Canis lupus familiaris: one gene and its partners. The protein of the gene in region 1 interacts with the protein of each later gene in a pairwise test. Links are inferred from orthologs where the notes say so. Each region holds a gene or a part of one and is shown on either strand. Other genes may lie near its edges.

Evidence for each region.
Region 2: the proteins of AAMP (region 1) and BHLHE40 interact in a two-hybrid assay, tested with the Homo sapiens proteins (2 studies listed by BioGRID and IntAct). The link is inferred for Canis lupus familiaris from reciprocal best matches to the Homo sapiens genes AAMP and BHLHE40.
Region 3: the proteins of AAMP (region 1) and AEN interact in binary tests that used the Homo sapiens proteins (3 or more experiments, as listed by UniProt). The link is inferred for Canis lupus familiaris from reciprocal best matches to the Homo sapiens genes AAMP and AEN.

What each region holds. Positions count from the first base shown.
Region 1 is NC_049258.1:24,820,053-24,825,608, forward strand, and holds the start of AAMP (angio-associated migratory cell protein), read right to left. Parts: upstream 3,720-5,556; coding exon 3,599-3,719; intron 3,171-3,598; coding exon 3,015-3,170; intron 2,378-3,014; coding exon 2,258-2,377; intron 1,755-2,257; coding exon 1,615-1,754; intron 1,355-1,614; coding exon 1,210-1,354; intron 917-1,209; coding exon 833-916; intron 727-832; coding exon 611-726; intron 475-610; coding exon 371-474; intron 202-370; coding exon 111-201; intron 1-110. Other genes in the region: probable hydrolase PNKD, read left to right, coding at 4,167-4,233, 4,969-5,137. UniProt on the Homo sapiens protein: Plays a role in angiogenesis and cell migration. In smooth muscle cell migration, may act through the RhoA pathway.
Region 2 is NC_049241.1:12,716,625-12,721,109, forward strand, and holds the end of BHLHE40 (class E basic helix-loop-helix protein 40), read right to left. Parts: intron 3,826-4,485; coding exon 2,969-3,825; 3' UTR 1,476-2,968; downstream 1-1,475. UniProt on the Homo sapiens protein: Transcriptional repressor involved in the regulation of the circadian rhythm by negatively regulating the activity of the clock genes and clock-controlled genes.
Region 3 is NC_049224.1:52,305,092-52,309,423, forward strand, and holds part of AEN (apoptosis-enhancing nuclease), read left to right. Parts: intron 1-978; coding exon 979-1,583; coding exon of another isoform or gene 1,584-1,595; intron 1,596-3,000; coding exon 3,001-3,201; intron 3,202-3,726; coding exon 3,727-3,960; 3' UTR 3,961-4,332. UniProt on the Homo sapiens protein: Exonuclease with activity against single- and double-stranded DNA and RNA. Mediates p53-induced apoptosis.

The DNA.
Region 1 (5,556 bases):
AAGCTGACAGGCACCTGCCCCAGACTCTCAGGGACAGAGGGAGGGGAGGAGGGAGGAAAGGAGGGGGCGGGTGACAGAGAGGCCCCACCAGAGCTCCAGGCTGCCTGTACCTGGTGCTGACACTGATGCCTGAGGGTCTGCGTAGACAGGTCATAGATGGCCAAGGTCCCATCCAGGTAGCCAACAGCTGCCAGAGGCATCCTGGGCAGAGGGGAGCACCACTAAAGAAAGGCTCATGGAGGGACGTGGGCTCACGCACCCTGCACTCCTCCCTGGCTCCCCGGCCCAGGCGCCCCTCGCCCCACCCCCTTCTCTACAGCTGTCCTCATCTCCAGGCCCAGGCCCTGGCCCTTCTCACTCTCACACTCACACGCTGCAGAAGCCCAAAGACTCCACGGAGTTGGACTCGCTCTCCTCCCCCTCTCCAACGTTGGGCTGGGAGGCCACAGTCTCGGGTCTGAACACACCCACCACCTGTAAGCCATGGGGGGAGAATCGGGACGGGAGGAGGGCTGACGGGAGGGCTGACGAGAGGGCGGCAAGGCAACAGGAGACGCACAGGGGACGTGGGCAGCAGAGGCTCCAGCGACAGGCTGCAGGTCGCACTCACCTTGCCAGTGGTGGCACTGACCAGCTGGGCCTGGCAGTCCACGGAGCCAGTGAGGATCAGGCTGCCGTCCTGGTTGGTGGCGACACAGGTCAGAGGGCCCTGGTGACCCTCGGTCCCTAGGAGGGGGCAGACAGCTAGGTCAGGCTGCCCCCCAGGCCCCGAGTCCTGCCCCAGGTCTCCCGCACAGACACCCCCAGCGAACCCTTCCCCTGCCTTAGAGACCTTTTAGTACGTGGATCGGACTTCCCTGCTTCAGGTCCCAGATCCTGATGGTGCCATCTTCATAGCCGACCACAGCTCTCTTCCCTGAAGGGCCACAGGCACAGAGGTGGTCAGATGGCACCCTCAGGCACACCCAGCAAGGGAATGAGGGGGGCGGGGAGACAGGAAAGTAAGGGAGCAGACCCTGCCCCACGGAAGGAAGAGTGTGCAGTCCAGGCCGGAGAGGGGACGCGGTCTGCTCTGGGGCCTGGGTCCACGCTCCGGACGGCGGACCTCGGAGCTGGCCGGCCAGGACCCGGAGGGAGCCCAGGAGGGTGAGTACACCTGGAGCCAACCTCTGTACACCCAGGGAAGGACGGACAGAGAGCTGCCCTCACCATCAGGGAGGACGCGGCCACAGGTAGCTGGGCAGTTGGGGCCTTGGAAGGTCTTGCAGTCACCATTTGGGACCTTCCACATCCAAGTGTTGCCGTCAGCGGTGCCCGCCAGGAGGACAGGTGCCCGAGGGTGCCACTCCATCCACTGGGCAGAAAGGAAGGGTCAGCAGGGAGGCGCCTGTCACCCCATCCCGCCTAGGAGCCTGTCCCCTAAGCTCCCCCCAAGCTGTCCTTGCTGCTGAGGTCAGCGGGGCCTGGACGGGAAACGGAGTAGACACCCTTGCTGCAACCTGAGAGCGCACTGGCTCAGAGCTGGCTGGGTCCGGGACAGGCGACACCGGACCCCCAAGCCCTCACCTCCCACCCAAGGCCCCACACAGCCAAACACCACTCTGACGATCTCACCTCCAGGTCTCCTGCTTCAAAGGACCACACTTCCTCCTTGGTGTCGACCTGCCACACTTTCAAGAGGCCACTCATGTCCCCGGTGGCCACTAGGGTAGAGTCGTGGCTGAAGCCAGCACAAGTAACAGAGTCTTTATGGCCTGCAAAGCAAAGTAGGTAGAAAGAGAGGAGAACGTCAGGGTATCTGGTGCTGGTGACACACGACCCAGGCGTCCGGCCCCCAGGAAGGACCAGCTGGGAAGGAAAGAGGGGGGGTTCCCACCGTAACAGGTGACTCGAGTCACTGCCCGTGCCAGGCGCCAATACCCCCAGGCCTCCCTAGGGGTGGCAATGCTAGCCTCCCACTCAACCGTGCCTCGCTCAGGCTTACGTCCTCTGCCCCAAATACCTCCACACCTCTGCCCCAAATACCTGCTCCCCCTTTCTGCCTAAGCCAGTGCTACCTCCTCGCAGACCCTGCCCAGACTCCTTTGGCCACTACCAGCTCCCTCCCCTGCACCCAAAACAGACTAGATCATCTGCTTTGAAGTCCTCGGGTCCAGCACAGGATGGAGATCAGTAAGTAGCTGCTGGAGGCATGAGCACAGCAGGCTAGCCCCCCTAAGACCTCCAGGAGAACAGGACCTCAGCCGTGCTCCCTCACCTGCACACTCAAAGAGCAGCTCCCCATCGCTGAGCCTCCACACGAAAGCTTTGTCATCTTCACCCCCCGTCACGGCCAACGTGTTGGTCTTGGGGTCCAGGCTCACACAAAACACAGACGCTGTCCCAAGAGAGAGTCCACGAGTGAGCGGACAGGGCTGCCACCCAGGGTCCTGTCCTTCGGGAAGCCCACCCGCTTCCACCCAGAGCACCATGTCTTTCCTCCAGAAAAGAAGGGTGCATCCAAGTTCTTCTAAGTTTCAAGCATCAGGTTGTTGGAGAAATCCCTCTCTACCCTTGCCAAGCTCCGAGTCCTTCTGCAGGGCTGCTGCCTTCACCACCCCAGACTGACGCTCAGACCAGAGCAGTGGACACGTGCAGGGCTTACAGGCTCAGCCGGGGCTGCCACCGGGCTGAGCACGGAGTGAGGGCACCCCGTCACTTGCCTTATTACGGACCAGTATTTGAGAATAGTATACAAAATTTGCTCAGAAAAAGTACTGCTACCTCTAATTTACGACAAGGTAACTTCTGGAAAAGAAACAAAGACCTAGAGACGCTACAAAGACCACAGATCTGTAAGGAGCAAAAGCAGATCCGACGCCCGGTGCCTGGGCGGGCTCCAGCAGCCCAGCTCTCCCCCAGGCCATGGGGCGTGAGCTCCTCCCGGGCCCTCTCCCTGCCCCGGGGAAGGCTCCGGGCACAGCAGGCGTCTGATGTTCAGCGGCGCCGGCGCACGGGGTTTACCAGAGACCTACCTGAGTGCAGCGCGAAGGTGACTTCGCTGTCGTCCGGGCCCTCCATGCTGCCCACCACTCCTTCCTGGGGTTCCAAAACCCAGCCCTCCTCGTTGCCCTCTTCCTCTTCTTCCTCTTCTTCGAAGTCCACGTCTTCCATCTCCTGGGCCAGATCATCTGCTTTGGGGAGAGGGTTAAAAGGTGGGGCTCGGCAGCCAGAAGAGGCTTAGCGGAGAAGTGTGGGGAGCTGGGGTGTAGCAAGAGGGTCGGCTGAGGTCACACGGAGGGGGTGAGGCGGCGGGGAGGGGGGCTCTGGGGGCGGAGGACGCCGAGGTGGAGGACCCGGGCACGGCCAGGGGCCGTGTGGGAAGGGAGGACCGAGGGGATGACGGGAAGGGGGTGTGTGAGGGGAAGGGCCGGAGGAGGCGTCAGGGGAACCCCCACCCCTGCCAGGCCTGGGAACTACGTGTGGGGGCAGGGCAGGGAGGAAGGGCGACGGGGAGCGGCAGGAACGGCCGGAGGGGAGGGGGGCCGGGGGGAGAAGCAGGGGCCGGGGGCCAGGGGGGCGCCTCCCGTCCCGCGGCCCGAGCGGCGGCAGTTCTCACCCGGGTCGGGCGGGCCAGGATCCAGCTCTACCACCTCGATAATCTCTTCATCACCATGGAAGCTCAGGGTCTCCAGGGGGGGGGTGTCAGCAGCGGCCCCGCTCTCCGATTCGGACTCCATGCGGCGCAAGCGGCCGATCCACTTCTCTGGGCCCAAACGCCTCCCAGAGTCAGCTCTGCGCGACGACGCGGAACTCGAGCCCCTCCTCCCGGGAGGAAGTAGGCGTAGGCGACTCCCCGGCAGGAAGAGCGACGGCCGCTAGCCCAATAGCGAAGGGGGCTACCCGGCTGACCCACCAATCACGGGGCAGAGCTGGGAGAAGGGGGCGGGCCGTGGCGGGGAGAACCCAAACTCCGCCCGGCCTGACTCCGCCTCCAACAGGAGGGAAACAAGCGAGCGTGCGCGCCTCCGGGGTCTCCTGGGAAGAGTAGTTCTCCCGGGGCCCCTCGCGGGCTTCTGGGAGATGTAGTTTCTGGTCTGTAGGCAGGACGGAAGGAGCGGGGGAGGCCCCTTACGCAAACTACAATTCCCGGCGGGGAGCGCGGTGAAGGGGGGTGGGATCTGAACATGGCGGCGGTGGTAGCTGCTACGGCGCTGAAGGGCCGGGGGGCGAGAAATGCCCGCGTCCTCCGGGGTAAGGAGAGGGACCCCGGGGAGGGCAAGGCTGCAGGGGATCCCCTTTTTATATACTCCCGACCAGCGATAGCAGGAGGTCATGGCTGTCGGTTCCTGCCCGCACCTCTCTGCGGGATCATAAAGAGTCTGGGGGCTAAGAAAAGATGCTCTCTGGAGGTCACCCAGCCCATCCCCTGCCCTCAAGTTCCGCGACACCTGCAGGGTCATGCTGCGAGAGGGAGCTCCGAGGAAGCCTTTTAGACTCCCGCGCTCCAGGTGTCTCACACTCACCGCAGTGCAGAGGATAGAGCCCCGGGCTTCTGGACGCTTGGGTTCTAGCCCCGGATAATTGGCAGTTTGACCTTGGGCGAAGCAGCTCGTCTCTGGGGGCTTCAGGTTCCTCTTCTACAGAACGAGGGGAAGGAGTAGACTACCTTTAAGCTCCAGTGCTAACGTTCTGCAGTTTGAAAACCTTTTCTCCGATTCCCTTCATACGTCTTATGTGAGCCCCACTGCAGTCCTTCACTTCCTGTCGTCCGAGCAGATGAAGAGCGACGAAGCTCGCCGTCCTGGCACCGGGGTGATGAGCCCGCAGTGACGTGGAAGTGGCTTTCAAAGGTGCCACCTCGATGGCAGTTTTCCCATTTCCCTTTGGATTCTCCCTGGCACTTGTTACTCCAAACCGCAGTCACTCCCCTTCCTCCCCTGGGCTCTCCTCCTCTTACTGACCTTCCTTCCTTCCTTCCATCCACAGGGATTCTTTCAGGAGCCACAGCTAACAAAGCCTCCCAGAGCAGGACCCGGGCACTGCAAAGCCACAGCTCTCCAGAGTGCAAGGAGGAGCCTGAGCCCCTATCCCCTGAGCTGGAATACATCCCCAGAAAGAGGGGCAAGAACCCCATGAAAGCTGTGGGACTAGCCTGGTGAGTTTTAACTAACTCTTTGCCCACCAACGGGGAGTGGCACAGGGGAGGGCGGGACCCAGAAACTTCTCCAAGTTTCAGGTGGTGAGTTGAATCTGAGGTTGTGGGGATGGAACTGCTTGGAGTGAGGATTGGACTCGGAGGAATGAGGCAAGGGGGGTGGGAAAGTATGTGGAATTGGAGACACAGTGAGTTTTCTGTGTAGTAGTAAGCTGAGCTAATCTGATTTGAATTTGGGTCCCTGGCTTTATTCTCTCTTTTGGGAGCTTGGGGTGAAAGGCAATTGAGCTTTCATTGAGGTCACGTGAGAGAGTGTGTATTAGTTGAATAAGGAGCATCTAGAAGGTGTTCAGTGTATCGTTACTTAGATCTGATTCTGACCTTAATACGTATCGTTGATCAATATTAAAAGGAAAGGA
Region 2 (4,485 bases), on another chromosome or scaffold:
CCTCGGTACAGGGGTGTGTGAGCCGCCCGGCTCCAGGAGAGGGATTCTGGGTCGACTGTCATGCGTCTGATCCCTCAGATGTGTTGTTGGTTCAGGGTGCTCCAACTGCTGCCTTCAGTCCTGGCAAGCTACTCCTTGAGTTATGGGCCTGGGAGAGAAAAGGGGGCTTGCAAAACCAGTCGGGCCCTGATTTCAACCCCATGCTCCATCCCCAGGATAAACTTGACTTGCTCAGGTTTTTTACCAAAAGTCTAGCCAGAGAAGCCTAGCAATTCATGGGGGCATTTCAGGGACTTGGGCCGGGATGGAGGGGGGAGACCTAGAAGCCCTAAGGAGCTGCAAGGAGGAGAGACTTCCAGAATTTGTCATCTGCTCGCTATAGGGCATGTGATAAGGGCTCAGCATCCTGATTTTACCTAGTCAAGACCAGGCTTGGAAGGCAGACAGATGAGAGGCCATGGGTTGTCTCTAGACTCCCAGTGCGGTGCTCCTTCCGTGGTGCCATGCTGCCTGGAGAGAACTCCGTCCTTCAGAGTATGCATTCCGCATCTCACACAGCCAGGCAATGCTCGCTCTCACCTGCTGGCTGGCTGGTCAGGAGACAGTGAAGGCGACATCTGAAGCAAAGTCATGAGGGGCAGGTGGTGCCTTTGCCTGGCTGGGAACTCCCTGGGGGCAGGTTCCCTGCTCAGGCTGCAGACATCCAGAGGGTTCCCAGAGGACTCAGATACTTGGGGATCTGAAGCATGGCAAGCCAGGCACTGGCCAGCAGGGACATCCCTGATGGGGAGAAGGGGAGAGGCAAAAATACTCGACCCGGTCATTTCCCACTTCTTTTCCCATGGAAATTTTTTTTCTTCATAAGAGCACTTGACTAAGGAACACCAATATTCATTCACGCACAAACACACCCAACGAGAGGAAGTCCAGGAAGGATGTAGAAAATAATTATGGAATGTTGCCTTCAGCAGCAATAAGACAGGATATGGCAAATCCATTAGACTTTGCTAGACTCAAAAAAGTTAGACTGGCTTGGCAGAGGATGCTATCCCCAGCACCAATTATTATTGCATAATAATCCATTAAATCTTTTCTCCATGTGCCTACCCCTCCAGCAAGCTCCCCAGATCCTAAGGCCCAACGATTCTATAATTTGATTTTCTGTCAAGCTCTAAGGATCATGACAAAAGCAGGCTGGGGTTGGGGGGACAGGGACAATGTACTTTTTTTTGCCTAATGCTGGAAGGAGGCGCAGGGTGGCCATGAACTTTAGCAACCGTTAGTTAAAAAAAAAAAATTTAAACAAATATTTACCATGAAATTGACCAAGTTTATTCTGTCTGAATACAAGGCACATAAAAAGCTGAATGAAATGACGCCAAGATTAACTAGTTGTTGCCTCCAGCCAAGAGGGGAGGGAAGAAGACAGCCGTATCACACAACTGGGGCATTCTAAAAAAATGCAAAAGACCATCTTTTCTCTTCCACAGGAAAAGGATTATTTTATTAAGTATTTTAAAACAACTACTTAACATTGACTCATAGATAAAAATATTTACAATTTCACACCTTCAGGAAGGCTCCAAAATATAAACACTGTACCTCTCCCTAGAGAAAAAAATTATTCTTCTCTTCAAAAACAGGAATACATTCATTTTTCTCACTTTGTAGATCAAGTAATTATACAAATAAACATCTGAAACATTTTCCTTTTTAATATATTTATATAATATATATTTATAACAGTTTTACAAATAAAGGCAATGACTTTATACCAAAATAAAAACAGGAAAAGAAAAAGTTAAAACACGATCGGCGATCAAGCATAGTGCATTTCAAAAAGCTGGTGCAGGGCTAGCTGGATGAGTCGGAAAACAAGTACTCTGGACCAAAAATAAAACTTCTTTGAAGGAGACAGAATCCTTTTTAGCAATAAGGACACTCCCTATGCCGTCGGGCGAGGGGAATTAGCCTGCAGAAAGGATCTTGCTGTGCCAAGAGCTGGTTAGGCCTTTAAGCTAAGCTTGGTAAAGGAGTTTTAGGATAGAACTGAAAACTGAGTCTAGCTCTGCTCGTTGAAGGTAGCAATTTGTTACTTGGCTTTATGCATTTTGGGGATGACTGCAGCATAGGCACCTGCATCTCGCAGACCCTGCTCTGGTTCCTGGGACAGCAAGATCATTTTCTAGGTGAGACCTAGGAATAGGCACCAGAGGCCCTGGGGCCTCCTCCCTCATTCCTTGGCAGCTCAGCTTGACCAGGGGGCCCTTTTCAGTTCCTTATTAAGCTAATCACTACGAAAGCCTGAGAAGGGAACTACATTCTCTTTATTCACCGGAGAAGGCAGCAGCGGGTGGGGAGCAGACCTGCAGAAATCTCCCCAAACCACTACCGTGCTATGCCAGTGTCTGCTACCTCACCACTTAGCAGAAAGCTCAGTGTGGCTGCCCTCTCCCCTTTCGGTGAGTCACCGCAACAATAAAGGGAGAAGGGTGGGGTCATTAGAGCTGGCTGGGAACTGCGCTCTGGAAAGCCCTCTTTTGAAAGTACCTTTCTCTCAAAGCCACAGACCCGGCTCCCAAAACGAAGACTGACTCACAGACCAAGACTTTGAAGCTTTTGAAAATCCAGCTGATTTGGATGTATCTGAGGGGGCTATTCTCCGGGTGGGGGAAAGCCCAGAGATCTGCTACAATCCCCCCTAAGTCTCCTGATGTCAGGCAATCCTTCATATCTTCCCTACGCCAAAAGGAGCTTTAATGTCCTATACCAGCACACGATGCACGCGAGCGCAGGCGCACGCACGCGCACACAGATACACACACGCACACAGGGACCCCAAAAATCTTCTCTCCATGCCTCAGATTATCTCAGCATACACACTAGAACAATCTTGCTGCAGTCACACTTTCTTTTTTGAGGGGGGAGGGGGAAGTAGGGAGGAAGGAAAGCAGTGCGGCAAGGTCCCCTAGTCTTTGGTTTCTAAGTTTAAAGGGGGGATCTGCTTCAAAGCTTGGAGCAGGGCAGAAGAGTCGATGGCCGGATGGGCTGGCAAGGGAGAAGGGAGTCTCTGAGGCATGAGCAAGGGGGCTGAGATCTTGTCTGGGTTCATGAAGCTGGTGAGGGCTGCGGCGGAGGCGTTGAGGCCCGGGTATAACACTGGGACGGAGGTGGGATACCAGCACTTCTCCAGCATGGGCAAGTAGGCAGTCGCTGACGGCGGGATGAGATAGAAGGGCAGACAGAAGGGAGGCTGGTGTGGGTGTGGGCCCAGGAATGGGGAGCTGATCAGGTCACTGCCAGTGAAGTGGCCTTCATCATCTGAGAGCTGCATCCTGCTCTTTTTTGTTGGGGGTTCTTCAGATTCTTGCTTAATAACACCGATCCTTTCTCCCATGGTGAACCTGCGTCCATGATCGCTTTTGAAGTACTGCTGCTCACCACGCAAGTCACCCTTCTCTGATTCTCCTCCGTAGCCACTGTCTGTGTCCGTGTCACTGCCACTCTGCTCCCCACTCGAGTGAGCAAAAGTCCGCTGGATGACCGGCACACAGTTTTTCCCGGGGCCTTCAGAGCCTTTGGCCAGGGAGCTGGGTTTCTCCTTGAAGTCCATGGCTTTGGGAGCCGGGTCTGATGGTTTCCTGGAGGTCCCCCCCTGCAGCAGCTCTGAGACCACACGGTGAAGGTGGGTGACTAGCTGTGAAGACTTCAGGTCCCGAGTGTTCTCATGCTTGGCCAGGTACTGAAGCACCTCCCGGGCACACGTCTGGAAACCTGAGCAGAACATCTCTTGACCTGCTTCAACATTTCTCCCCGACAGCTCACCTGGATCAACACAGATCCAAAGGAAGACATTTCAGAAGGTCCCGTGGTTCACCTGGATACCTACACCCGGGAGCTTTCCTTTCGGTTAACAGCACTTGCTGACTTTGTGTTCCTAACTCCAAAAGTAATACGATCGGGAAAATTTTGGATTACACTGAAAAGTATAAATAATAGAACAAAAATAATCCACTATCTTACCACTTACAGGTCAAATATGAGCTATAATGGCTGCATAATAACCCAATCATAGAAACAGAACATAATTAATAGAGATGGACTATTTTCGCTCATTGAATTTATAGCTCATTCTTGAGTTTTCATTATAAGCGACTCAGCAGTGAACATCCTCATATGTTTAGAGGATGCTCTTACCAGAGCAAGATTGGACAGGACCAGTCATAGAATGCGATAAAGAATAAAGGAATGATGTCACCTACGTTAGCTTATTTTCAATTTAAAAAGTTGCAATTGTGCTGGAATCTTTAAATTTCAAAGCTCTTTCTAAGCCTTTTCCACGTATCCTATCTATACGCCCCAAGACATCAAGTACGATCATCTTCCTATTTTCAATAAGAAAGCTGGCAGAAGCACTTGCTAGGCTTCTGGGATTCTCATCACATGGGTCTTGGAAAGAAGGGCAAGAAGAATGGAATGAGGGAG
Region 3 (4,332 bases), on another chromosome or scaffold:
AATGTACCAGGTGACTTAGCAAGTGAGTGAAGCTGTCCAAGCATGGTCCCTCGCTCTTGGGCACCTGCTGGCCTTGTTGCATGGGATTTGCAAACCCACATGAACTTCAGAAATCCCCAGTGTCCAGTAATGGAGGGACCTGCGGACCCTGCCTTTTCTGTTTCCCTTTTTGTGTGTTGAGCCAGCTTACGAGCATACCCCTGCCTTTAGTCTCTGGTGACTTAGCAAAATGCCTAGCTATCAAAAACTGTTTTAGATGCTGTTGTGATTAGTGAGGTAGAAAGTCATTTAATGAATTACCTTATTTTGGTTGACAGATACCGAAAATGCAACTATGGTGAGCCTCTTGTGAATTTTTTTTCTCTAGTTTCTGCTGAGGATGAGGGCCTGTGCTTTCACAAAGGATTCTTTTGGTTTTTGGTTTTTGGTTTTTTTAAAACTGGGATTAGATTGTGTGGCCAGCTCAGTTGGAAGAGTATGCGACTCTTGGTCTTGGGGTCATGAGTTTGAGCCTCACATTGGGTGTAGAGATAACTTAAATTTAAAAAATTTAAAAATGAGATTTGCGTGTGTATGTGTGTATGCATACACACGGTGTTTCTGTAACTTTTCTTTTCCCATATCTATACCTCTCTAAAGCTTGTTGATGCTCCTGAAGGTGTGCTCTGGCTTGAAGGTTGAGACCCTGGATGCTGGGTTCGCATCAACTCTTGTCTTTCTCACCTGTGAGATGAGAACGATCATACTTGTTCAGGTTGTTGGGAGTATTTAGTGATTCTATGTAAAGTACTTGGGATAGTGATTCACAGGGGAGCTTGACTCAGTGCAGTGATTATTTGAAAGGTCCTGGGCTCAGTCTGGGAGCCTGAGACAAAGTACAGGGCTCGTGGGCAGTGGGCAGTGGAGCCCTGCAGGCGGGGGCAGGGCTGGCCCTGCACACTTCTCACCCAGCCTCTCTGCCCTGTGTTGTCTCTGCAGAGCGCCGCCCCGCTGGCAGATCACCCCACCAGGCCACGCCTGCCCCGAGGTGTGAGCTGATTGGGATGGTACCCCGGGAAGGCCCAGAGTCTGCCCAGTGCCCGTGCCCTTCCCTGGCTAGCCTGAATACCAAGGATGTGCTTCGGAGAAAACACAAGCGGAAGAGTCGACAGCACCAGCGATTCATGGCCCGGAAAGCCCTTCTGCAGGAGCAGGGGCTGCTGAGCATGCCCCCCAAGCTGGGACCCTCCCCGCTGCCCATGCCATCAGAGGCACTGCCGGGCACTGAAGCCACCAGCAGTGGGATGCAGCGTCTGAGGAATGAACCTGGAGGTGCCTCGTGGAGCAGAAAGCCTACCCCCCGGGAATCCGCAGGGCCCCGGCCCAGCAAATGTGTGGCCATCGACTGTGAGATGGTGGGCACAGGACCCCGAGGGCGGGTGAGTGAGCTGGCCCGCTGCTCTGTAGTGAGTTACCATGGCGATGTCCTCTATGACAAGTACATTCGGCCTGAGATGCCCATCGTGGACTACCGCACTCGCTGGAGTGGTGTCACTCGGCAGCACATGCGCAAGGCCATCCCCTTCCAGGTGGCCCAGAAAGAGGTGAGGACATAGGTGAGGACATGTGTGGATGGGGGATGGCCAGGGAAGGGCAGCCCTGGGTTTGAGTCACCACTCAGCTGCTGGAAACGAGTTTGGGAAAGTTACTTAACCTCTGTGTAACGTGTGGCTTCCTTCTCCATAAACAAGGGTGCATAAAATCTGGACCCACCTCCATGGGAGGGTTGCTGGGTAGTCTTTGGGATAATGTTTGTGGAAAGACCGCCACTTGGAAGATGTGAAAGGCTCACAAGTTACATTTTCTTTTCGGTTGTAAAAGTATGATGTATCTATTTAGAATTTGCAAGGCCCACAGTCCTGTCATCTTCAGGCATCAGCGTTTCCATATTTTTTTAGTTATCCGGAGCTTTGAAAAAGATCAATTAGTGATTGGGATCGCACTAATGTGCTAGGAGTTCCCAAACGTATTTGACCATAGGAAGCACCTAAAGCACTGTTAAATCTTGAATCTTTGTCCCCAGATCCTTCCATGGAGATTCTCATGGGCTTGGGGATGGCTTTGAAAAATCATCATGCTGTGCAAACGTGCACATGACCTCCCTGGGGCCTGAGAAGGATGGAAGGCAGGGAAGAGAGGCATGCACTATGCACGTGGTGAGCGCTGAGCCAGAGACCAAAGGTTTCAGAGGTGGGAAGCGGAGTCCTGTATGGCCCCTTGTCCAGGGGCAGGATCCTGAGGAGACAGGCCATGTTGGCTAATGCTAACAAAAGCTGCTGTTAATGGGCTTATCTCTAGTGCCAGGCACAGTTCTGTGGACGTCATCCAGTGGGTCTTTATCCGTCGCCTCCTATGTACTGAGCTTTCATCGAGCATCACTAGTCAAGTCAAACACCGTCCCTGCTGTTTACACTGAGCTAACATGGGGGCAGGTGGATAGACTGTGCCAGACCTAGAGGTGTCCTTAGAAAACGTGATGAATCCACTCCACCACCATGGGAGAGAACAGCCCGGGTCCTGATGTGGCTGGGCCAGTCATGTGGGAGGCCTCCTGGCATGGAAGCCGAGGCGCCCCGAGAGGACTTGGCACAAGGTTGAGTGGGGTGGGGGAGTGCAGGGAAGTCTTCCAGTCTGAGCAGAGAGCCTGTGCCAGTAGAACAGAGTTGCTTGTATTGATCAACTAGAAGACTTCTTCCAGGAGCTACTTCTTAAAATGCTCAGACCCACCCCGGGGAGACAGCACTCTTACTTGTTCGAGAGCCTAAGTGTGCCCCGGGTCATAGTGAGTCGAAGGCCCAGGACTCAGACATGAGGCTGCGTGGCTGACCATGGAGCTCGTGGGTGCCCTCTCCACACTGCCCCCCCCCCCCTTTGGAGGGATCTGTGTGCCAGTGGCCAGGGTGGCAGCACATGTCTCGTGCCAGCTTGACAGCAGGGTCTTCCTCCCTCCTTCACTCATAGATCCTCAAGCTCCTGAAGGGCAAGGTGGTGGTGGGGCATGCGCTCCACAATGACTTCCAGGCCCTCAAGTACGTGCACCCTCGGAGCCAGACCCGGGATACCACTTACGTGCCCAACCTCCTCCACCAGCCTGGCCTCCACACCCGCACCCGGGTGTCTCTTAAGGACCTGGCCCTGCAGCTGCTCCACAAGAAGATCCAGGTGCGTGGGACGGGAGAAGGGGCCATGGGGTGTGCCTTCGGGCTTCCAGTCATTCCACCTTCCCCAGTCCCCGGGACCAGGGCGCTAAGTATGATGTCCCACACGTAGAGGCAGCCCTGGGTGTTTTCTCCACCATCCCTATTGTGACAGCCAACCACGTTCTTGCAGGCTGGGCTCTTGCAGACCTGTCCTCCACCCGGTCCCTGGCTCTGTCCCTGCCCTTCATGGAGAATCCACAAGGCGGAGCCTTTCCCAGGGGCAGCCAGTAACTCTCGCTCCCACTGTCCTTCTCATTATTCCGTCCGCTCTTCAAGCCTCTGAAGTCAGTTATACCACGGGTTATGTTTGAGTTGGGGACGCAGGGTCAGAGAGGATAGGTGGGGTACGGGATGTCTGAGATTGCTGTGCTCTCCTGAGCAGCACCCATGCCCTGCCCCCGTCCCGAGCCATACACAGCTGTTCCGAGAGTTCTGGGCCTGCACCAGATCCAGAATGGCGGGCAGTGATGAGGGCTCTTGTCTGCAGGCTGGCCAGCACGGGCACTCATCAGTGGAAGATGCCACGACAGCCATGGAGCTCTATCGGCTGGTGGAGGTGCAGTGGGAGCAGCAGCAGGCCAGCAGCCTGCCGCCCCGCCCGGAGGACCGAGAGCCTGACAGCAGCACGGACATGGAGCAGTACATGGAGGACCAGTACTGGCCAGAGGACCTGGCCCAGGGCACCCACGGAGAAACGGAGGCACAGGACAGAAGGGAGTGAGGCAGGAGAGCCCTGGGCAATTCATCCTGGGCAGGGCAGGGTGCAGCTAGCCTGTTGCCAGGGTCCGGGGAGTTGGGATCATCTATCCTTTTGGCTCCCTCTGCCCAGGGCTCTTGTGGGCACTTCCCCCCCATGGTTTGCTAATGGCACTTTATAGGCACTGTGAAAATGTCAGGTGGGTGAGCTATGGGGACCGAGCCAGAGGAGGGAGTGTGCCAGCAGACCATCCTAGCTGTCACTGCCCCCCCCCCCCCCCCCCCCGGTGTGCTGTCTCAGAGGGTGAGGTCTCCTCGTGGGGTGTTAGCTCAGCTCAGTGACCTGGGGTAAGGCCCTTTTCTCTTACTGCCCTCTGCATCTTCCTCCGCGGGCATT